3 linked regions of the Arabidopsis thaliana genome follow. The protein of the gene in region 2 interacts with the protein of the main gene of each other region in a pairwise test. Each region holds a gene or a part of one and is shown on either strand. Other genes may lie near its edges.

Region 1 (7,671 bases), on a different chromosome or scaffold from region 2:
ATTTACACTTGGCAGGAAAAAGGATACACAAAAGAGGTATGATCACCAGAGTTAGCAGATTTGTGAACTTAAACATATGTACTTTTGTGTCAGATGCAACTAATATTCTTACCTTATTAACTGGCTTTGTATATTTGGCTCTCTCTCTTGCAGGTTGAGGTTGAAGATGATCCAACTGAAACAAAAAAAGATGACCAAGATGACCAAACTGAGGTATATATACCTGCGTCTCTTTACCTGTTCTAAGAAATACCTTGATCAGCTTCTGGAAATATCTTAATCAGCATCAGAAGATAGCTAGATGTGTAAGAAAAGTTGGCTTAGGGTTGGGGACTATTTTTCTTGTAACAGAAAAAGAAGAAGACCAAGAAGGTTGTTGAGAGATACTGGGATTGGGAGCTTACAAATGAGACACAACCGATTTGGGTAAGGACTTGTCAATGTATCTTGAGTGCACTCTGAATCAATTTAACAGTGTATTTTATTTATTGCAGCTGCGTAACCCTAAGGAGGTGACAACAGCAGAATACAATGAGTTTTACAGAAAAGCTTTCAATGAGTATTTGGACCCATTGGCTTCATCCCATTTCACGACAGAGGTATTTTCAAAGGAACACATTTATTGAATTGGATATTTCCATTAAACAGCCGAATTAGATCGTCTTTGTTAGACGATCCACTGAAATATAATGCTCTTTGATTCTCTTGTTGGCAATGCTCAGGGCGAAGTCGAGTTTAGGTCTATCCTATATGTGCCACCTGTTTCACCATCGGGGAAGGATGACATAGTCAATCAAAAGACAAAGAACATAAGGCTCTATGTTAAACGAGTTTTCATTTCAGATGACTTTGATGGGGAGCTGGTGAGAAAAGTTTCTTTTGGTGTGGTTCAAATTTCTTTCAAGAAACCTCTGTCTTTCTAATTATATTGATATCATTTTTGTGGTGTTTGTGGCCAGTTTCCTCGGTACTTGAGCTTTGTTAAAGGTGTTGTGGACTCGCATGATCTCCCACTTAATGTATCACGTGAGATTCTTCAAGAAAGTCGCATAGTAAGCGCTCATATCCAATTCGTATGCAAAGCCTTTATGATATATGTTTTGTTTTAAGTGCAATGCTATGTTAAGCTTACGATTTTGTATTGTGTCTCCAAGGTGCGGATCATGAAGAAACGTCTAGTGAGGAAGGCTTTTGATATGATTTTGGGTATATCCTTGAGTGAAAACAGAGAAGTATGTTTCATAACTCTTGTTCCCCTAAGCTTACAGTTTAACCTTTTTTAATTCCCTTTAGAAATCACTGCTACGTTCTGGTGATGATTTTCCTGACGAATGAGAATGGCATTGTTAACCTATACAGGACTATGAGAAGTTTTGGGATAATTTTGGCAAACACTTGAAATTAGGGTGCATCGAAGACCGTGAAAACCACAAGCGTATAGCTCCACTGCTTCGATTTTTCTCCTCCCAGAGTGAGAATGACATGATCAGCTTGGATGAGTATGTTGAGAACATGAAACCTGAACAGAAAGCCATATACTTCATTGCTTCTGACAGCATTACAAGTGCTAAGAATGCACCTTTCCTCGAAAAGATGCTGGAGAAAGGACTTGAAGTATGTGTTGTTCTTCTGAATGGGGCCTCGTTTTGTTCTTCCTTGCAAATATTCCTATTAACTCAGAGGTGATTGACATGTATTTCTTTGTATTGTGAACGTAGGTACTATATTTGGTAGAGCCTATTGATGAAGTTGCCGTACAGAGTTTAAAAGCTTATAAGGAGAAGGATTTTGTAGATATCAGCAAGGAAGACTTGGATCTAGGCAAGTGCCTGATGTAATTCCTTGATTTAGCATGTCAGGTAATCACTTATGTATAATAACAAATTCTGGCTTTGATCTTTGTATTGACAGGAGACAAGAACGAGGAGAAAGAGGCAGCAGTGAAAAAAGAGTTTGGACAGACTTGTGACTGGATAAAGAAACGATTGGGTGACAAGGTTGCCAGTGTTCAAATTTCCAACCGTCTTAGTTCTTCCCCCTGTGTTCTTGTATCTGGTAAATTTGGTTGGTCAGCCAATATGGAGAGGTAAGATCTGACCTTTTTCTTAAGCAAGGATTTCCGTTCTCCTTTTTTGCCCCTGGTGAACTAACACAGAATATGTTATCTGGACAGGCTAATGAAGGCACAATCAACTGGTGACACAATAAGCCTCGACTACATGAAAGGGAGAAGAGTGTTTGAGATCAATCCCGACCACTCAATTATCAAGAACATAAATGTGAAGTCACCATTCATCATAACTTGTACCTGGCTATTATAATTAAATCTAGGAGCCGCTTTTTGAGCTTGGCTTGTTTTTTTCTTGCACCCTGCAGGCTGCTTACAATAGTAACCCAAATGACGAAGATGCAATGAGAGCCATAGATCTTATGTATGACGCAGCACTAGTTTCTAGTGGGTTCACGGTGAGTCCTATTCTACATTAACATTCTTAACTTTTTGTTGTCTCTAGAATTGAAATAAAGTAAATACTGGTAAAACTTAATTGTTGTTTCTCAAAACTACAGCCCGATAATCCAGCAGAGCTGGGTGGGAAGATATATGAGATGATGGATGTAGCTCTTTCCGGGAAATGGTCAAGCCCTGAGGTGCAGCCGCAGCAACAGCAGATGGCACATTCTCACGATGCAGAGACGTTTGAAGCTGAAGTGGTTGAACCAGTCGAAGTGGATGGGAAGAAATGAACACAAGCCTAATGTTTTATGTCCCTGCTACGATTCTCATCATATTCTTCTTCTTTTATTAGTAGTAGCAGTAAAAGTAGAACCCCAAAACTCAGAACAATAGGCAATGAGCGAATGATAATCTCTATTTATGTTGGAGAGATTAATAATTGATTGAGCTTGTTTTTGTTCCAGTTTGTGTTGATCCTCCTCGGTATAATTTTAATAACCGTTAAGAAAAATTCAGTTGGGGTGTTTTTGGAAAGATTTTTCGAGTTTTATCTAACAAAACTAAAATTTTGGGACATATGGTAATTTTTAATTAAATAGAGGGATGTTGTTATCGTACGAATTGGGTTGGTTTAAAACTTTGTTTGGACAGATTCGACTCAAACGTTGAACGCGTTTAAAAAAGTCAACAAAAGTCGAAGGTTACCGGCTGGTCAGGTTAACCGTTAGAGATTAATGAACTGGCAGCTGTATGTCTTTTTTATAGTTCTGTCTTAACAGGCAAAAAAGTGTTTAATTTATCTTTCCTTTGGGTTTCTCACGGAGTCACGGTTCCTCGTTCGTCCTCTCCCGTCGTCTCTCCGGTGAGTCCTTAATTTTCCGGCGGTCTTTTTCCCTTTCTCGTCTGTTTGGTGCTTTCTTTATGTCTGAGGCGAATACAGCAAAACGTATCTGTTTTGGTTGTTGAGTTCGAGGCTGGTCCTGAAAATTCGGTGACAAAAAGAGTCAATAACTCTCGTGATCGAGTTGGATGCGTTGTTTTGAGGGTTGATTCAGTTTATGACTATGTATTTTGGTACTTGCAAGATTTTCTGATTTTATGAAGATTCGTGTTTGACTTTTATAGCGTATAATCTACGGGGCAAACAGATTCGAGCAACTTGTTTTTTTCTAGCGCTTGTTTTGTGTTTACTCTGTCATGTGTTTGTATTTTTTGAGCTTCCACTAGTGATTAATCATCTCAGCTCAATTTGAACATAGGAGATGTAGTTTTTATCTGTCGGTGGATTTCTAGGGATTTTGCAAAATGTTTTGGGCTTTCCTGAATTAGTATGTGATTTGGTCGTAAAGTATTTTAGGGATTTATGTGTTCCTTGGGGTGAATCTGACATTGACATTATCTTGGTGTCTGCAGCACTAAATTGATGGGCACATCATCTGGGTCCAATCTTCCTCACCAGATGCTACCTCCACGTCAGCAACTACAAACATCTCTTTCGCTTGTATCTTCAGATCCCCACTTGTCACGGTCTAATTCTGGCATTGTGCGTGAATCACCAGCTGAAAGTGCTAGCTCTCAAGAAACTTGGCCAACCTCAAAATCTATTATGGGAAGGAAGACAGATAGCGGAAAGACAGGGCCTGACTCTCATGATCAACATGTGATCCGCCATGTTTCCATTGCTGATAAGGTATCGCTACGGGACATAGCTAGAGAGAGACTTGACATAGTCGCTGAGAGAATGCATCGATTACCAGAAGAATATCTCGAGGAGTTAAAGAATGGTCTTAAGGCTATCCTTGAAGGAAATGGTGCGCAGCCTATAGATGAGTTTATGTTTCTGCAGAAGTTTGTCCAGACGAGATCTGATTTAACTTCAAAGACACTTGTCAGGGCTCACCGAGTGCAGCTTGAAGTTCTTGTGGTTATAAACACTGGTATCCAAGCATTCTTGCACCCAAACATCAATCTCTCTCAGTCATCACTCATCGAGATCTTTGTGTACAAGAGATGCAGAAACATAGCTTGCCAAAACGAACTCCCGGCTGATGGTTGTCCCTGTGAGATATGCGCTAATAGGAAAGGCTTCTGCAACCTGTGCATGTGTGTGATATGTAACAAGTTTGACTTTGCAGTCAACACATGCCGCTGGATTGGCTGCGACGTGTGTTCTCATTGGACTCATACGGATTGTGCTATTAGGGATGGGGAGATTTCGATGGGAGTTTCTCCCAAGAGCGTATCTGGGATGGGAGAAATGCTGTTCAAGTGTCGAGCGTGCAACCATACTTCTGAATTGCTGGGGTGGGTGAAAGATGTGTTTCAGCACTGTGCACCAAACTGGGATAGGGAATCTTTAATGAAGGAACTTGACTTCGTTAGTAGGATTTTCCGTGGAAGCGAAGATACAAGAGGCCGGAAACTCTTCTGGAAGTGTGAGGAGCTTATGGAGAAGATTAAAGGTGGACTGGCTGAAGCAACAGCGGCCAAGTTGATACTCATGTTTTTCCAAGGTAAGCCCACTCGCTATTGTTATATGATAAGGGTTTACTCTTTATAGACCTAACCATGTTTTGTGTATGAAGAAATTGAATTGGACTCTCCAAAGAGCCTTGAAAGCGGAGAAGGTGGGGGTACGATAGCACCTCAAGATGCATGCAACCGAATTGCTGAAGTTGTAAAGGAAACACTGAGGAAAATGGAGATAGTGGGTGAGGAAAAGACGAGGATGTACAAGAAAGCGCGAATGGGGCTTGAGGAATGCGAGAGAGAGGTAGAAGAGAAAGCAAAGCAAGTGGCGGAACTGCAGATGGAGAGGCAGAAGAAGAAACAACAGATAGAAGAGGTGGAGAGGATAGTGAGGCTGAAGCAAGCAGAGGCAGAGATGTTTCAGTTAAAAGCAAACGAGGCAAAAGTGGAAGCAGAGAGATTGGAAAGGATTGTGAAAGCGAAAAAGGAGAAAACAGAAGAGGAATACGCAAGTAACTATTTGAAACTGAGGCTGAGCGAGGCGGAGGCAGAGAAAGAGTATCTGTTTGAAAAGATAAAAGAGCAGGAAAGTGGTGGGAATGGTGGTGAAGCGTCACAAGCAGTGATGTACTCAAAGATCAGAGAAATGCTGCATGGATACAATGCATCGTCGCCAAGGGTAGATCCAAGATCAAACCAGCGAAATCCTTTCAGATCCAATCCTTAGATGTTTGTATTGTCTCTCTTTGTTTGTATTAAAAAAAAAATCCGAATCAATTAAGGTTGGATTTGTGTGTGAAGTATTGTGGTCTTTGTATTCAAATTTTGCACATGATCGTCTATGTTGGGCCATAATGTTATGCAAGCTTTGACACAGAGTGTTGCCAAAATCTCGATACTTATTCACTCGGATTTAGAGAATTGTGGATTTCGCTAATGGAGGGAGATCCATGTTACCTTAAATAGTTTATATTTGAGCCAACATGAGAGCCAAAGAACATCGCCACCGACTTTAAAAAGAAAATATTTTGCCCAAATGGATATTACAGAGTAGTTATTTGCAATAACGTCCTCATGTTTGGGTTATAATAACGATTTGATTTCTTACGGGGTATAAAGCAAAAGGAATCAAAACGTTTGGGGAAATAATGTAATATTCTGGAAACAAAACGCGTATAATCGGATTGATAAGGAATATTATATCATCGCCGATGCAATCATCGACCATCGTTTTGTTTTCCTGTCTACCCAAAAACAAACCCTAGTGTCCGAATTCTCGACAAAATTCATCGGCTCCAAATTCCATTCGTGCTTTTTGAATTCGCGTTCTTCTGATTCAAGATGTTTCTTTCACCTGGTCATTCTCCTCGTCAGATTTCTTCTCCATCGCCGTCTTCTTATTCCGATGATACCCTCCGATCAACGCCTCGCAGTTCTTCCTCGGAGATCATTCCTCGAAACCCTAGAAAACGGATGAGAGTTCTCGATGAGGACGCTTATGTTGAAGCAATCGAGAAGATCATCGAGCGTGATTACTTTCCAGATATAACTAAGCTTAGGGATCGGCTCGATTGGATCCAAGCGGTGAAAACCCGTGACCCGATTCAAATCCGAGATGCCCAGTTGAAGATTATCGAGAGGCGTGGAAAGAAGGCGAATCATCATGTTGGAGATACCGAGGGTAAAACTCAAACTCCTGGATCTACTTTTCTGAGAAATTTCACTCCTTTAGATGAATTTGATGGTAAAACCCCTAGAACTCCTGGAGTATCTGGTAGAGAATTTCATGGTGTTGAAGTAGATGCTGGTGATGGAGATGAAGATATAGATCTTAATTTGTCCCTAGATGAGTTCTTTAGGAGATATACTAGTGAGGATAACGAGAGCTTTTCGAAGATTCTTGAGAAGGTAAATAGGAAGAAGAAGGAGAAGTATGGCTTTCTCCTTGAAGGTGAAAAGGAGGATGGTAAATCTATTGAGGATGTGAAGAGAGATAGGATTACAGATGGGTATGGTACATCTGATCAGCCACCGAGTACTTTAGAAGGATGGAAATATACGGCGAAGAATCTTCTGATGTACCATCCAGCTGATCGGGGTGAGGCGCCTTTAACTGAGGCGGAAAGGGCAGTGAGATTACTTGGATTGACTAAGGAGATAGTTAAAGGGAACACTCGTTTTCATGGTAAGACTATGGATTCTAGGCCAAGAGAAGATGGTTCTGTTGAGATTCTCTACACTCCAATCGCAGGTTCTTCCCCGATGCATATCTCAGGTAGGGACAGAGACAAGTCTAAAAGGTATGATCTTGATGATCTAAGGAAAACACCGAATCCTTTCTATGTGGAATCAGATAAGAGGGCAGACAATGGGTATAGTTTTGTTAGAACGCCTTCTCCTGCTCCAGGTCTTGATGAATCACCCTTTATAACATGGGGTGAGATTGATGGGACACCAATGCGATTAGATCTTGAGGATACACCTATTGATATTGGTGGTAGTGCTGATGGACCGCACTATAACATTCCATCTGCACCTCCTAGAGATGTAAGGGCACATTCATTATCAAGGGATGCATCGCGAAAACTTAGAGAGAGATCGAATAGTATGTTTAAGAAACCTCCGTTGCCATCTCCTCATCGAAGTGGAAGTGCAAGTCCGAATGTTAGGACTCTTTCACCCGCTGCTCAGAAGTTTTTCAGAAAGGCAATAGCTAAATCATCTTCTACTGTTGATGAGAGCCTTCG
Region 2 (7,322 bases):
CCCCCTAAACGGAAGAAGACAATGACATCAGTTTATCTTAAATATTTCGAGACTGCACCAGACAGCAAAACTCGGAAATGCAAGTTCTGTGGACAAAGCTATTCCATTGCAACAGCTACTGGTATTATTCTTATATCCTCTGCATTTTATTCCAAGTCCTTTTGATTTTACTAACAACATATTTTTTGTTCTTGTTCTGTTTTCCTGCTCTTAAGGAAATCTTGGAAGGCATCTGACTAATCGACATCCAGGCTATGATAAGGCAGCAGCAGATGTTGTCACCAGCTCATCAGTACCACAGACACCACCGGCTGTTGTTAAACCGTCACAATCCCAGTCGAAAGTACCACAACTCGATTATGATCATCTTAACTGGTTAGTTCTCAAGTGGCTTGCTTTGTCATCACTTCCTCCCTCTACTGTAGACGAAACATGGTTGGGAAACTCCTTCAAATTTCTTAAGCCATCCATCCAGTTATGGCCGGCTGAAAAATATAAAGCCATACTTGATGAGGTTTTCACAAGTATGCGGGGAGATGTGAAGACAACCTTGGAGCATATCCAGTCCAAAGTTTCTGTCACTTTAAGTTTCTGGAATTCATATGAAAACATTTTTTATATGAGCGTAACGGGTCAATGGATAGATGAAAATTGGTCGTCTCATAGGTTGCTGCTCGACATATGTCGGATTCCTTATCCCTCTGGGGGTTCTGAGATTTATAACTCCCTTTTGAAAGTCCTTAAGACATATGCCATTGAAGACAGGATTCTATGTTGTACACATGACAACAGCGAAAACGCTATTCACGCTTGTCATAGCCTGAAGGAGTACTTTGATGGTCAAAAGGTCTTACCTTTCTGCTACATTCCCTGTGCCGCTCAAACTCTGAATGATATTATTGATGAGGGGTTAGCAACTATAAAGCCCATTATCTCTAAGGTTAGAGAATTCACACAAGAGTTAAACGCGTCCACAGAGCTATCTGATGATTTCATTCAGTTGACAACAGCTTATCAAGAAGGCAACTGGAAACTACCCATCGATGCTTCATCTCGTTGGAGTGGCAATTACCAGATGGTCAACATCTTGTGCAAGGTAAGATGTCTATAACTTTGACCTGTAAGCCATCAAGCTCTGAGATATTTATATGTGATGGCTTATATTGCTGCAGGCTAGCAAGTCCTTGGACTCGGTGATTAGGAAAAACGAGGATGCTCTAGAGAACAGAATGATGTTGAGTTCTGTAGAGAAGAACGCGGTGACTATTGTCCACAATTACTTGGATTTGGATTCATTTCACAAGACCACTAACGATATGTGCACGAACAAGGATCTCACGGTTGGTCTAGCACTGCTCTTCATGGATAACATATCCGAGATGATCACAACTTGCCAGAAATCATGCCACAACCCAGACTGGCTAAGAACTTGTGCTGAGAGCATGGCCCAGAAGGCCAGAAGTTACAACACTCAAGTGTGCAACGTATTCACTTACATTACAGCCATTCTTGACCCGCGGATCAAAACAGAGTACATTCCAGAGACGATTAATCTCGAGAGCTATATAGATGAAGCAAGAAGTCATTTCATTCGTAACTATTCTTCCTCTCATTTCACATCTTCAATGACTAGCGGGTATCGTCCTCAGGAGGTAGATGAAGGAGGAGGAAATATCTCATTTGCAGAGGAAATCGCTAGAAGGAAAAGAAGAGGAAGTATGAGTAACAATGTTGTTGATGAACTGACTCAGTACTTATCAGAGTCTATAGTTCCAATGCAGACTGATGTGCTTGATTGGTGGAAGGTAAACAGTGGAAGATACCCGCGACTTTCCAACATGGCTCGGGATTTCCTTGCGGTTCAGGCGACTTCTGCTGCACCGGAAGAGATCTTTTGTGGTAAAGGAGAAGAGATTGATAAGCAGAAGTATTGCATGCCTCATGATAGCACACAATCTGTTATTTGTATCAGATCATGGATTGAAGCTGGTATGAAACTGAAGTACAAGTGTAGTGAGATTGACTATGAACGACTAATGGAGTTAGCTGCCACCGTGGCCGCTGATAATTCTGCCGGAGGTTTAGAAAAAATTCAACAACATAGGTGAGATTATTTTTTAGTATTTGTACTAAAGAACTACTGTAATTTAGTTGTCATACTTTTAGCATGAATCATTGAATTTAGAGTTGGGTTGATGTAAACCAAGCTGGTTAGCTTTCTTCATAACCGTATGTACTTTCATATCATATTAGAGAGAAAAAAAAACACAATGTTGACTAATTAATGGGTTCTGTCTAACTAGAAAAGTGGAAATTAGTTGTACGAAAAAAGAAAATAGCTTATCTCTTTCTTTGTACCTTAGATTTTTCCTTGGTATAATGGATATCGATATGTCCAAGTCCAGTGTTTGAGTGACCAAGTTGTTGCTTTAATTTAATCTAGTTCAAATACGACTACTTTTGTGTTGTACCTCTCTACCTTACCTTCCTCGAATTTTCAATTCGTGTGCTAGTTTGCCAATTGTTTCTTTATAATTTTGTCGTCTCTATGATTGTTTAAGCATATTTAAATATTTGAGAGAAAAAAATACTAAGAGTTCAGTCGTATTTTGAAAAGTCCTCGCACTCCAAGTTTTAAAGTTGAATTCATTCTGTCATGGAAACGTACCTTTGTGGTTTTTCATTTCGATAGACATTTTTTAACTCTTCTGATAAATTCAAAATGTTTTTTTACATTGGTTAAAATTTGTTGCCAATTTCAATAAAGCTTTTTTTTTACTCGTTATAAAATTAAAAACTTGCTGAGAAATTATAGTTTCATATATACTTTGGACCGACGGTCAATACCAAAAAACTAAAATAAAATTTTGGTCAAGAATCGGGTCAATACAAAATATCTCCAAAGATCGAAGAGAAAGTTCAACAGGATTTTAATTTAATTGGTGTTCCGGACCTGCCGGCGCCGTATTATAATTCTTCAATAAATTTTATATTTTGGATTGCATAATCAAAACTATTTGCATAGCAGACATAGATTTCAAAATAAATTGATACGTAATTAGCTATTTACATAGGCAAGACAATTTTACGTTACATATTTTGCATGCTTGATATTCATTCTTTTTTTTTAGCAACCTTTGCTATATTCATTCTATTTTTTCCCCTTTTTTTGCTACTATCAATATCATATCAGATGTGGCGGTTCTTATGCATGGGATTATGAAAAATGATATTATATAATAGATGTCTTCGTAGTATTTTTTTATTGACAATCAAAATAAAATAAATTAGTTTAAGAAAGATCAAAAGTCTAGTGTCAAAATGTCCACTGACAAAAGTTAGCAGTTTTTCTTTTATGTAATAATCCGATTATAAAAAATTGCGTTAAGGAATCATAATGAGCCATGTGTCAGTCATATTTAAACGACGACGTTGGCAGCAGCCACACGTACAGCCTCAGGCAAGCATAAATAGAGATGGGCTCTTTCCTATAAGTTTCCCACTTTGCAAAGTGTAACACAAACAGTTCTCTTTAGAGAAAAAAAGATTCTCTCTATAAAACCTTCTCTTTGTGTCTCTCTTTGTGGTAAGAAAACAGAGCAACTAGATCTCTCTTCTCCTCTGCTCGTTCAATGTTATAACGATCTCGAGTATCACAAAAGAACAAGATGTCTATTCGAAGAATCTACCGATGTCTGAATTCTTTAATCAAAAGATCTTGTGCTCAATCTCTATGATCATACGCCCCATTTCACACTTTGTTTCACCTCTCAGTTTTTTTTTTTGTGTTTTTTTGTCCCTCTTTGTTTCACTTGAGAACAACCCCCTTTGAACTCGATCAAGAAAGCTAAGTTTGAAGAATCAAGAATGGTGCGGACACCGTGTTGCAAAGCTGAACTAGGGTTAAAGAAAGGAGCTTGGACTCCCGAGGAAGATCAGAAGCTTCTCTCTTACCTTAACCGCCACGGTGAAGGTGGATGGCGAACTCTCCCCGAAAAAGCTGGTATGTATTATTTTTTATTATGTTTATTCCGTCATGTTTGAATATTCAATGTTGGACCTTTATTGGTCATTATTGCTCAATTATTTTACTTAAATAATTCTTCTAATTGGATAGGACTCAAGAGATGCGGCAAAAGCTGCAGACTGAGATGGGCCAATTATCTTAGACCTGACATCAAAAGAGGAGAGTTCACTGAAGACGAAGAACGTTCAATCATCTCTCTTCACGCCCTTCACGGCAACAAGTTAGTCTCTCTACCTCTACATTTTATACTTATTTTTTGTTTGCATTAACATTTACTAATATTGTAATCTTATATGTGGTTTTAATCAGATGGTCTGCTATAGCTCGTGGACTACCAGGAAGAACCGATAACGAGATCAAGAACTACTGGAACACTCATATCAAAAAACGTTTGATCAAGAAAGGTATTGATCCAGTTACACACAAGGGCATAACCTCCGGTACCGACAAATCAGAAAACCTCCCGGAGAAACAAAATGTTAATCTGACAACTAGTGACCATGATCTTGATAATGACAAGGCGAAGAAGAACAACAAGAATTTTGGATTATCATCGGCTAGTTTCTTGAACAAAGTAGCTAATAGGTTCGGAAAGAGAATCAATCAGAGTGTTCTGTCTGAGATTATCGGAAGTGGAGGCCCACTTGCTTCTACTAGTCACACTACTAATACTACAACTACAAGTGTTTCCGTTGACTCTGAATCAGTTAAGTCAACGAGTTCTTCCTTCGCACCAACCTCGAATCTTCTCTGCCATGGGACCGTTGCAACAACACCAGTTTCATCGAACTTTGACGTTGATGGTAACGTTAATCTGACGTGTTCTTCGTCCACGTTCTCTGATTCCTCCGTTAACAATCCTCTAATGTACTGCGATAATTTCGTTGGTAATAACAACGTTGATGATGAGGATACTATCGGGTTCTCCACATTTCTGAATGATGAAGATTTCATGATGTTGGAGGAGTCTTGTGTTGAAAACACTGCGTTCATGAAAGAACTTACGAGGTTTCTTCACGAGGATGAAAACGACGTCGTTGATGTGACGCCGGTCTATGAACGTCAAGACTTGTTTGACGAAATTGATAACTATTTTGGATGAGTGAAACTCATAATCGATGAATCCCACGTGACCATGTCAATATGATGTCTATGGATATGTTACCTTGATGATGTTGATGGTAATAATAATAAATAATGATGGTGATGATGACCATGCATGAATCATGAATGTAGTTCGTGTTGTCACATATGCTTGTGTTTTTGTGTTTTTTTTTTTTGGTCTGAAGTGTGTTGTTTCGTTGTAAATGGATTATAAATGGTGATGTAATAATTATAATGTTAACGAGTTGTTAACTTTAGTACTTTTATTGTGTTGGTTATCAGAATTTGTATCCATCCGAATATGAGATTGCTTTATTTTGAAAAATCATTCATTAGCTGCTGCTGCTGCTAACTACTAGTACCATTGCTATTTTAAATTTTAATTGGCAGTATTCCACTATTAGGTCATCTTCATCTGTAAGATACTTTAAAAGGTTTTAAAATAAAATAAAAAATTACTGTAATTTAATTTTGTAATTATTTTTTTTTAAAAAAAATATTCAATTATAAGCAAACACTTATAGAAATAGTCTTTCACTGATTATTCCAAAATTTCTCAAGAAACGTTTCTTCATTTTTTGTCATTCTCTCTCCTCATTTATTAATTATTTATATTATCTTTATCAAAAGAAACTCTAAAAATTGTATGGATGGAGATGCTCTGGTTTATTTTATGAGTTAGGGCTAATAGATTGAGCAGATTGGTAAAGAAATATATCCTCAACCAGTTTTGTATATTAAAAAAAAAACCAACGATTAACTTATTTTGTGACTTAAATCTTTCATTCTCTAATGTATATAAAATTCACCCTATCAACATACGAATAATATTCAGCAATGAGACCCACATAAATTTAAAGCAAGCGAGAGGATCATTCTTTGAATGTTCCGAGGGTTAAAGATAAGAAGAAGTTGATACCAAAAAAAAAAAAAGGATAAGAAAAAGTGCATTATGATCCCTAACCTTTCGAAAGCACCATGAAGAAAACAAAAGCAAAAGCTGATTTGTGATTTGTTTCAATATTTTAATATTTCAAAAAAAGGGTGAATGAATTAATTTGCTTTTCAAAGATAGTGTTTTCTCTATATAAATAAAGTGATTAGAAAATAAAAATTATATTTCCAGGGACAGCCTATATCTTATTATCATGTCTGATTTAAAACTATAGGTAATGAAAAAAATATTACATCGTTGGCTTTTTGCCCAATTGTTGGTTTGTAAAAATAACAATTGTAATACCCGTATGAAAAATGAAAATTTTCTGAATATTTGGACTTCTGATCTTTTGGTGATTGTTAGAATTTAATTATCATACGTAGTTACAAAGAGTGGTAGTTAATTTCTGAATATATATTTACAATTTTCTTTTACCATCTATAAATTATATACACGTATATTATATTGAAATTCAGATTACAATACGCTAACAATGTTTGAATAAATCAATACTTCAATTCTATTTTTCTGCGTGAGGATGCCTACTAAGATAAAAGACATTTTGATGTTTATAGTCCAATATCATGATTTGAGCGTTGACGTATTCCCACGATACTATACATTTGTATTTCAGGTACGGTAATTAATTTGATCGTTTGTTTATTCAAGTTTATCTTCAGTAAAGTAACCCTTTTGGGAATAAGTGGGGGATTCCATGGATTCCATGGTATATTGCCATATTGGAGTCTTGGATTTACCCGAAAATTTTCGTGTTGACATTTTTGGAGATGCTACTTATTAGATTCTCCCATCTGTTCATCAACACTGTTAGCGCCGTCTTATCAGATTTTGTGTACGTGAGACGTGTTATGGAGATTCATCTAGATGACTAGATGTACATGTTGACAGGAACGAACGATTCTTACTTTTGGTCTTTTTGAACTCTTCAGATATATGTAAGTCGCTCGTTCTGCTAGGTGAAACATGAAAATTTAATCATTTTGATGGAAAATTGCTTTCAAAAACGAATATAAAGTAATTCATACACATTAATTTTTGTTATTCCACTCGCGAGGGTTGCTTCCACGAATCAATGAAAGATAAATCTATCGAATAAGTTGTTGTTTTCTAACAAATTATATAAACAAGTTGCAAGTATTTTATGATCATGTACACTATGCAATCAACCGGGCCATATCTAATTTTCTTTTTCTTTTCTTCCTTTAATTTCTTAACTTTTTGATCTGATAGTCG
Region 3 (7,022 bases), on a different chromosome or scaffold from region 2:
GTGGAAGAGGAGGATGAGGATGAGCAAGGTGAAACACAGTGTGGAGCATGTGGTGAGAGCTATGCAGCTGATGAGTTCTGGATTTGCTGTGACCTCTGTGAGATGTGGTTTCATGGAAAGTGTGTTAAGATAACACCAGCAAGAGCTGAGCACATCAAGCAATACAAGTGCCCTTCTTGCAGCAACAAAAGGGCTCGTTCCTAAATTTGTTGACCGCTCGCTTCTGTGTATCTACCTTTGCATATGATGATGAACAGCTTAACTGTTTGGTTTAGATCAGATTTGTCATATGGATTTGGTAATTTAGGAAGACATTTTAGTTTTTTCATTGTTACATTTTGGCGATTGAAGGGATAACTCTTTGTTTAGGGGTAATGATCTTTTGCTCTGTTTTATGTTTGTTTATTAACATTCTTCAAACTCAATCAAAAGTATTTTGGTTAGTCTTAACACAACAAGGTTTTATCAATATATCATTTCTGCTTCTTTGTTGCTAGGCGCTTCAAGAACTCGTAGGTTGTGATCATCGTTGTTGCGGACATCGACATTGAGACCCATCTTGGTCCTAATCCTCTGTAACAAGCACCAACTCCTCCTTCCTTCATCAAGCTCTTCACTGACTGCATCACTGTCATTGCTCGTCTCCTCCCGTTCTCTTCTGCGTCTAAGACTTGCAACCGCGTCTTGATTGTGTCTACTGGCATAGTTACTAAAGCCGAGCAACCGCTTGCTGTAGCTGCACTCAACGCTTGAACCACCACTGAGCCACCAGCATCTTCCTTGTGGTTGTAGGAGTGCTTGTATCGAGACCAAATTGATTTTTGAGCCAAAGAATAAGACGCCCACCAAACCGCGTTGGAAGGTGCGTAAGTCAAGATCGAGATCCCAAATCCTCTGTAGAACCCTCTTGGTCCATCTGTGTAAAGAATCTTTCTAAAAGCATCAAACCCATTTCTGTATCTGCAAGAGTTCATCACTCCAGGAAGATGCTTACTCAAGGAGACATCGCCTTGAACCATAAGCCCTTGACTCACAATATCAATCGGAGTCCAGACAGTCTGGGCAGCCACAGCCGAGGTCAAACCAGCTGCACCATTAGCAACAGCCAAAGACGTAGTATCAGACAATCCTAACCTAACAGTTGCTTGACCTACACTACTCTTTGTAATCTCTAGAGCAGTCATATAGAGAGCACGAGCCGGGATGGTTCCAAGCAAAGATGTTCCAAAACCCTTGTAAAACCCTTTAAGACCTTCAAGTCTAGCAATAGCCAGAGAAATGTTGGCACATGAGACACGAGTCGGAGAGACTTGTTGCCTTGTTTTGAGAACTACAATAGGGTAAAGAGCAGTGGATACACCGGAGAAAAGAGCAGCACCGAGGAAGAAAAACCTCGATTTATCAAGCATTTGCCAATCTATATCATTTGACATATGTACCTGAGAAGAAGAAGATGAAGTTGTTGCTCTTCTCTTCTCTTCCATCAAAGCACCTAAACTCATTTTGAGCTAATCTTACCTTAAAAACCAAATCAAGATTCCAACTTTAGAGAGTTTTGACCTGAGTAAGAGATGAGAATAGAGTGTATGATTGAATTGTGATCAAAGAGAGAAAATCTCTGTGGATTTATTAGCTTCAAAATCTATGAACTCGTGTATTAATATTATTATAGTGAATATAGAGTCAGAGCCAAAACGATGGGTCGTGTGGATAACATAAAAGGAGCGGCCTTTAACGGACTCAAGAGGTGTGTGAGGAGGAGTAATGGGACTGGGCACGTGGCAAGTGTTGGTTGGTTTATGTTAGAGAAACTCACAGTTTTTAAGGTTACATGAGGCTGAGAAGAGAGTGGCTTCTGTCGGAATCGCCACTTGTTTCATCCTTCTGTGGATTATATTTATTATTTTATTTTATTTTTACTGATTTCTGTAGGTTTTGCATTTGATTATTTTGTGATATAATGTATTTATCAATAACTGTTTTAGTTACATTTTAAATAAAATTAGATGCATATGTATAATAGTATGGATAACAGAGCCTATTTATAGAATTTCTTACATTTTATGGAAATAAATAACTTTTTTAAAAGGTCCAAGAAATAGTCTAGATTGCAAATGCAAGTTTTCGATTGTAAATGAAAGTTTATTGATTTTAGATGATAAGTAAAGTGTTAAGTGTATAGTGTTTTGACAAACAGAATAATACTAAATCTTGTGATCTATGTGCTCTCTATACTAGTAGTCTAGTACTTAATATAATTGTCTTTATGTTTATTTTTGTCAATCTTCTCGGTTCTTATGATCAAATGCTTGTTTATCATTGTTAAATCGTTTGATTGCATGTAATTTCGTTTGATTTTTCTTAGGATAAAGTAGAAAAATCATTTCAAACTGATTTCCATAATCTCACAATTTACGAGAGTCAGCCGTTGATTCCTCATATGTCTCGTCAATTTTAACTGAAAAGCCTCGAATTCAAGGGGCCATAAATCTCACTTTTTATGAGAGACCTAACTCGTCACTGCACCAAATGCTGCTTGGTTTCCATGTCACTTTAAATGTTGTGGAGCATAAATTTAATGAGTTTAAAGGATTTAGATATAAATATTAACTGTTTTTGGTATATGTGTTGACTGTTGTGTTTAGTTGTATAGTTCTGGTGTACATGTTCAGCATTCTTGACTACACTAACACTTCTCATACCAGACTAGTTCAAATCTAGCCAAAACCGATCTCACTATTTTACTGGATGAAAGTAGCTTTTAAATATCCGTTCAAATGATTTAAACTATTTTTTTTTTTTTATATACTCTATCGGCTGATCTGGTAAACAAGGGGTTAGTCAAGCCGCCTGTATTTCTAAATACTAGATAAATTAATTAGGTTAAGACCCAATTGTCAAACTTTCCAAACAAATGTAATTTTGTTTCAAAAGAAAATGGAACTTAGGTACGAAGGTTTCACCCTTCATCAAAGCTTGCGCCACTAGACCACAGAGGCTTGGACAGTATAATACTATTTTGACTGGCCAAGTAGAAGTGAAAGAATTCTCAGTAAAAATCGAATATAAGGGAGGAATGGATTGACACCATATCCCCAATTTTTTACCACTGGGTCACTACTTTTGACGTTATTGTTAACACAATACATAAACATCATTTTTTTTTGGACATCACTTAAATTGTCTCTCTAAATAAGACACACGTTTATAAGCAATTTCATATATTTTCCTCACCTTTTTGATTCCTTATAGAAAAGTAGCAAAGAAACGTGCCCCAGCTAATATTCGGACATAACTTAATTCAAAACAAAGCAATAGTTTTTTGTAAGTGTTCTCTTTCGTTTACTTTATAAGAAAGGTTTTTGTTACAATGATCTAGACGAAAGGAATCATTTGCTCCTTAAGATACATCATACACAATAATATAAAAATATATATACACATATTATGTAAATTCAATACAATCAAAACATGGGAGAGATAGACAAAATCCGTGACGGGTTTCTTGGTGCAGTTAAATTGGCAGTTCATCGTCATTTTTTGTTCCCTACAAACATTTCCTCTAAATGCAGAGTGTGTTCCATAGAGAGACTTGAACCCACCAAAGTCTTGACTTGTAATCAATGCGAGTTTTCTCTTCATGAAGACTGCATTGAGATCACCAGCCCTTCTCATCATAAGCATCCTCTTAAGCTGCATGAACGTATCATAGGTTACCGTAGACGGGACCAATGTTGTCTTTGTAGATACAAGTTATTGGATATGTTCTACAATTGTTCACGTTGTATGTTCGAGGTGTGTATGGCTTGTCTGAAGAGGCCATTACTTATCTACAAGACAACATCCCACAAGCACCCGCTTTCCCTTATGCCCATCGATTCTGTCTCCTTCACTTGCGATGCTTGCGGCTCTGTAGATAATTCCTCATATCCTTGCACATGTCTTCAATGTTGCTTCATCATTCATAGAGATTGCATTGATTTACCTAGTGTTATAAGTATTAATCGTCATGATCACCGTATTTCTCATGTCGATATTCTTAGACCGGAGGAGTGGATATGCGGAGTTTGCCATAAAATTATCAATAACCAATATGGAGCGTATTCTTGCTCGGTTTGTCATTATGCAGTCCATTCCAAGTGCGCAATAAGGGATGATGTATGGGATGGGAAAGAACTTGATGGAATACCTGAAGAAGAGGGAGATAACAAAACCGAGGATATAACGCCATTTGAGGTGATTGATGACAAAGTTATAAAACACTTTAGTCATGAACATATATTAAGATTTATTTATCAAGATGTTCTTATTCGCGACGAAAACCAAAGATGCTACGCATGCGTTCTTCCATTCTACTACGATGCATGCTATATATGCACGCATTGTGATTTCATTCTTCATGAAACATGCGCTAATCTTCCGCGGACAAAAAGGCATGAGTTACACAAGAATCACTTTACTCTTTACCCGAATCCTAAACCTGGAGAAGATCTCGAGCTTTCCAAAAGCTTTTTCACATGTGTTGCTTGTCAAAGACCAAGCAACGGGTTTAGGTACGAGAGCGGAAATGTAAAGTTGGATGTTCGTTGTGCTACAATCTCAGACGAGTTTAACCATGATAGTCATTTGCATTCCTTATTTATCCTCTCACTTTTTCCTCGGGAGTGCTCGGCGTGTGACCAAATGGTGTACGGCTCACTGAGTTGTGTTAAACTTGATTTCTTTTTGTGCTTCAAATGTGCTACTTTACCAAAAGAGGTCTTCAACAAGAACGACAAACATCCTCTCTATCTACGATACAGTGGATATCGCTACGGTAATTATTGGTGTGAGATATGCGAAAAACCAACCGATCCAAGGAAGTGGTTTTACTCATGTGACAAATGTTGTTCGACTCTTCATATCGACTGCGTACTCGGTAAATCACCTTACATGAGGCCAGGGCACAGTTTTCTTTTATGTAGTCGTGAGTTCCAAGTGGTTTCCAATAACCATACATCTCGACCGTTTTGTACTATATGTTCGTTGCGATGCAAAGATGCTTTTGTTCTGAAGAGCAAGGATGAGACTGATACATCATGCCTATGTTCTCTTAAATGTCTCGATTCTCTTGTGATGAGTATGCAACGTATTAAACTGTAATCTAAATAATAATGTTGTGGCAAAGATCACATTAATTACTTTCATAGTTGTGTCTTAATAAGTTCAATGCTATTTTTTTTATATAAATCTCACTACGTTCAGTGGTTAGTCTAAATCTGTGATCTATGCTTAATAATTGCCTTTATTTTTATATATATCAAATGTACAATCTCTATGATCCAATGCTTATTTTTCACCATTCAGACATTTTTTGTAAAAAGATTAACCAGATATCGCAAATACTGTTTCAGACCATTCATAGGACACAAATCTTCCACGCTTCGTCGTTTATGTACCTGCAAGGGAACATACGTTACGAATACAAAGCATTTCCTAATCAATCTATATAAACTTCAAAGACCTAACGCACAGATACAATACAACATATCATTTTAGGACTAAAGACATAACAGAAAGGCAAACAACGAATATATCTTGGTGTGGACAGGTTAGGCTCAACACCACCATTTTCCTCGAAGACATACTAGAACGAATTCCCGGAGGAACATGAAAAGGCAGACCGCAGCAATCCCTCAAGAGCATATGTCAGCAATGCCTATGTTATAAGTACCCGAGCGCCTACACTTTTGTGGTGGGTATGCCAGAGTTTGAAGGAGAAGATGTCAGAGTAGAGATTGAGAATGAGAAGGTGCTTATGGTGAGCGGAGAGAAGCAGAGGGAAGCTAAGAGGAGAACGTGTGGACTGAGAGGATGTGGGAGATAGTGAGGAAGTTAAATTTACCGAAGTAATGAGCACCGAACATAGACAATATGTTGAGGGGTGACCGTTGAGAAGCTTCCTTCTCCCGAGCCTAAGAAACCAAAAACCATTCAGGCTCAAGTCGCTTGAGCTTATTATCTCTCTTTGTGTGTTCTGTTTTGATGAAAAAACCATAATGTTGTGTACTGCAATTTGTAATGTGATAAAAAGTTAAAGAGGTTCTGATTTTACCTTACGATGTTCCTTTCATGCCTTTGTTGCAAAATTTTGACGACAACATGAAGATCAAAGGCATAAACAAAATTGAAAATTCAACAACCATTACGTGATAACAGGAACCTAGTCTTGAGCCTGTGCAAGGTCCCACTCCAAGCTCTGAACATTTTGGGACAAAGATAGGGATGTAACTGCATGGTTCTTTCTTTGGGTCTTCGTCTACACACTCTATCGGGAAGTTCAGACGATTTTGGGTTATCGAGTTTGTTTGCCCTGACGAATAAAGCGATGAAGAACCCTTCTTTGTCCTCCACCGGATCCATCCTAAGTAGATGTTCAGCTGCAAGCCAAAGCCAACATGATCAAAAGGTTAGAAACAGAGTCAATCAGGTGAAACCCGATGGTAAGGGTGATACTTACATCCTGCAAATACAGGGAGACCACGACGCTGCCACTGAGGAAAGGGGGTAGCAAGTTTGAAGCCCAAGGATGATGCCAGAGGTAAAACAGAGGAGACGACATCTTCGTTTTCTATTTGGTAGATGGAGCATGTGCTGTATACGACTCTCTCAACCTTTGGAACTAATTAAAACATATAAGTTTTTAGTTCTCATTCATATCTACATATAGAGTAAGATTCTCTTAGTGTATATATGGTTTATGCATTCATAGAGGGGAAATTTAACATGGATCAACGTGTTTGGGAGATTCTTCAAAAGCTAAGTAAAACCCTCATTTTTTGTTTTAGCTAACATGAGACAAGTATATAAACTTACAGGAGAGTGCATGGGCAAGAGCCTTTTTCTGGAAAACAGCGAGCTTGTGCAGTCTCATGGAGTCATAGTTCATGTTATTATCTACATGGAAAGGTGTGTTAAGGTTCAGTCACTTCGTAACATAACACACACACACAGAAGATCAGCTAATACCTTCTGAATGAGAA

What was found. The genes of interacting proteins can lie anywhere in the genome.
Region 1: the proteins of MYB51 (region 2) and OBE1 interact in a two-hybrid assay, tested with the Arabidopsis thaliana proteins (one study listed by BioGRID).
Region 3: the proteins of MYB51 (region 2) and AT5G26190 interact in a two-hybrid assay, tested with the Arabidopsis thaliana proteins (one study listed by BioGRID).

What each region holds. Positions count from the first base shown.
Region 1 is NC_003074.8:2,481,226-2,488,896, forward strand, and holds OBE1 (potyvirus VPg interacting protein (DUF1423)), read left to right. Parts: upstream 1-3,228; 5' UTR 3,229-3,760; coding exon 3,761-3,783; intron 3,784-3,868; coding exon 3,869-4,968; intron 4,969-5,040; coding exon 5,041-5,651; 3' UTR 5,652-5,901; downstream 5,902-7,671. Other genes in the region: Hsp89.1 (HEAT SHOCK PROTEIN 89.1), read left to right, coding at 1-36, 154-213, 352-426, 495-599, 723-863, 960-1,052, 1,155-1,232, 1,360-1,614 and 5 more; AT3G07790 (DGCR14-like protein), read left to right, coding at 6,266-7,671. UniProt on the Arabidopsis thaliana protein: Probable transcription factor that acts together with OBE2 for the maintenance and/or establishment of both the shoot and root meristems, probably by controlling the expression of the meristem genes such as WUS, PLT1 and PLT2 and of genes required for auxin responses.
Region 2 is NC_003070.9:6,385,898-6,393,219, forward strand, and holds MYB51 (myb domain protein 51), read left to right. Parts: upstream 1-3,501; 5' UTR 3,502-3,867; coding exon 3,868-4,003; intron 4,004-4,117; coding exon 4,118-4,247; intron 4,248-4,336; coding exon 4,337-5,129; 3' UTR 5,130-5,489; downstream 5,490-7,322. Other genes in the region: AT1G18560 (BED zinc finger and hAT dimerization domain-containing protein), read left to right, coding at 1-121, 216-1,096, 1,173-2,108. UniProt on the Arabidopsis thaliana protein: Transcription factor positively regulating indolic glucosinolate biosynthetic pathway genes.
Region 3 is NC_003076.8:9,151,748-9,158,769, reverse strand, and holds AT5G26190 (Cysteine/Histidine-rich C1 domain family protein), read left to right. Parts: upstream 1-3,470; 5' UTR 3,471-3,471; coding exon 3,472-5,142; 3' UTR 5,143-5,252; downstream 5,253-7,022. Other genes in the region: AL4 (alfin-like 4), read left to right, coding at 1-204; AT5G26200 (Mitochondrial substrate carrier family protein), read right to left, coding at 474-1,502; AT5G26180 (S-adenosyl-L-methionine-dependent methyltransferases superfamily protein), read right to left, coding at 6,175-6,419, 6,500-6,661, 6,856-6,936, 7,009-7,022.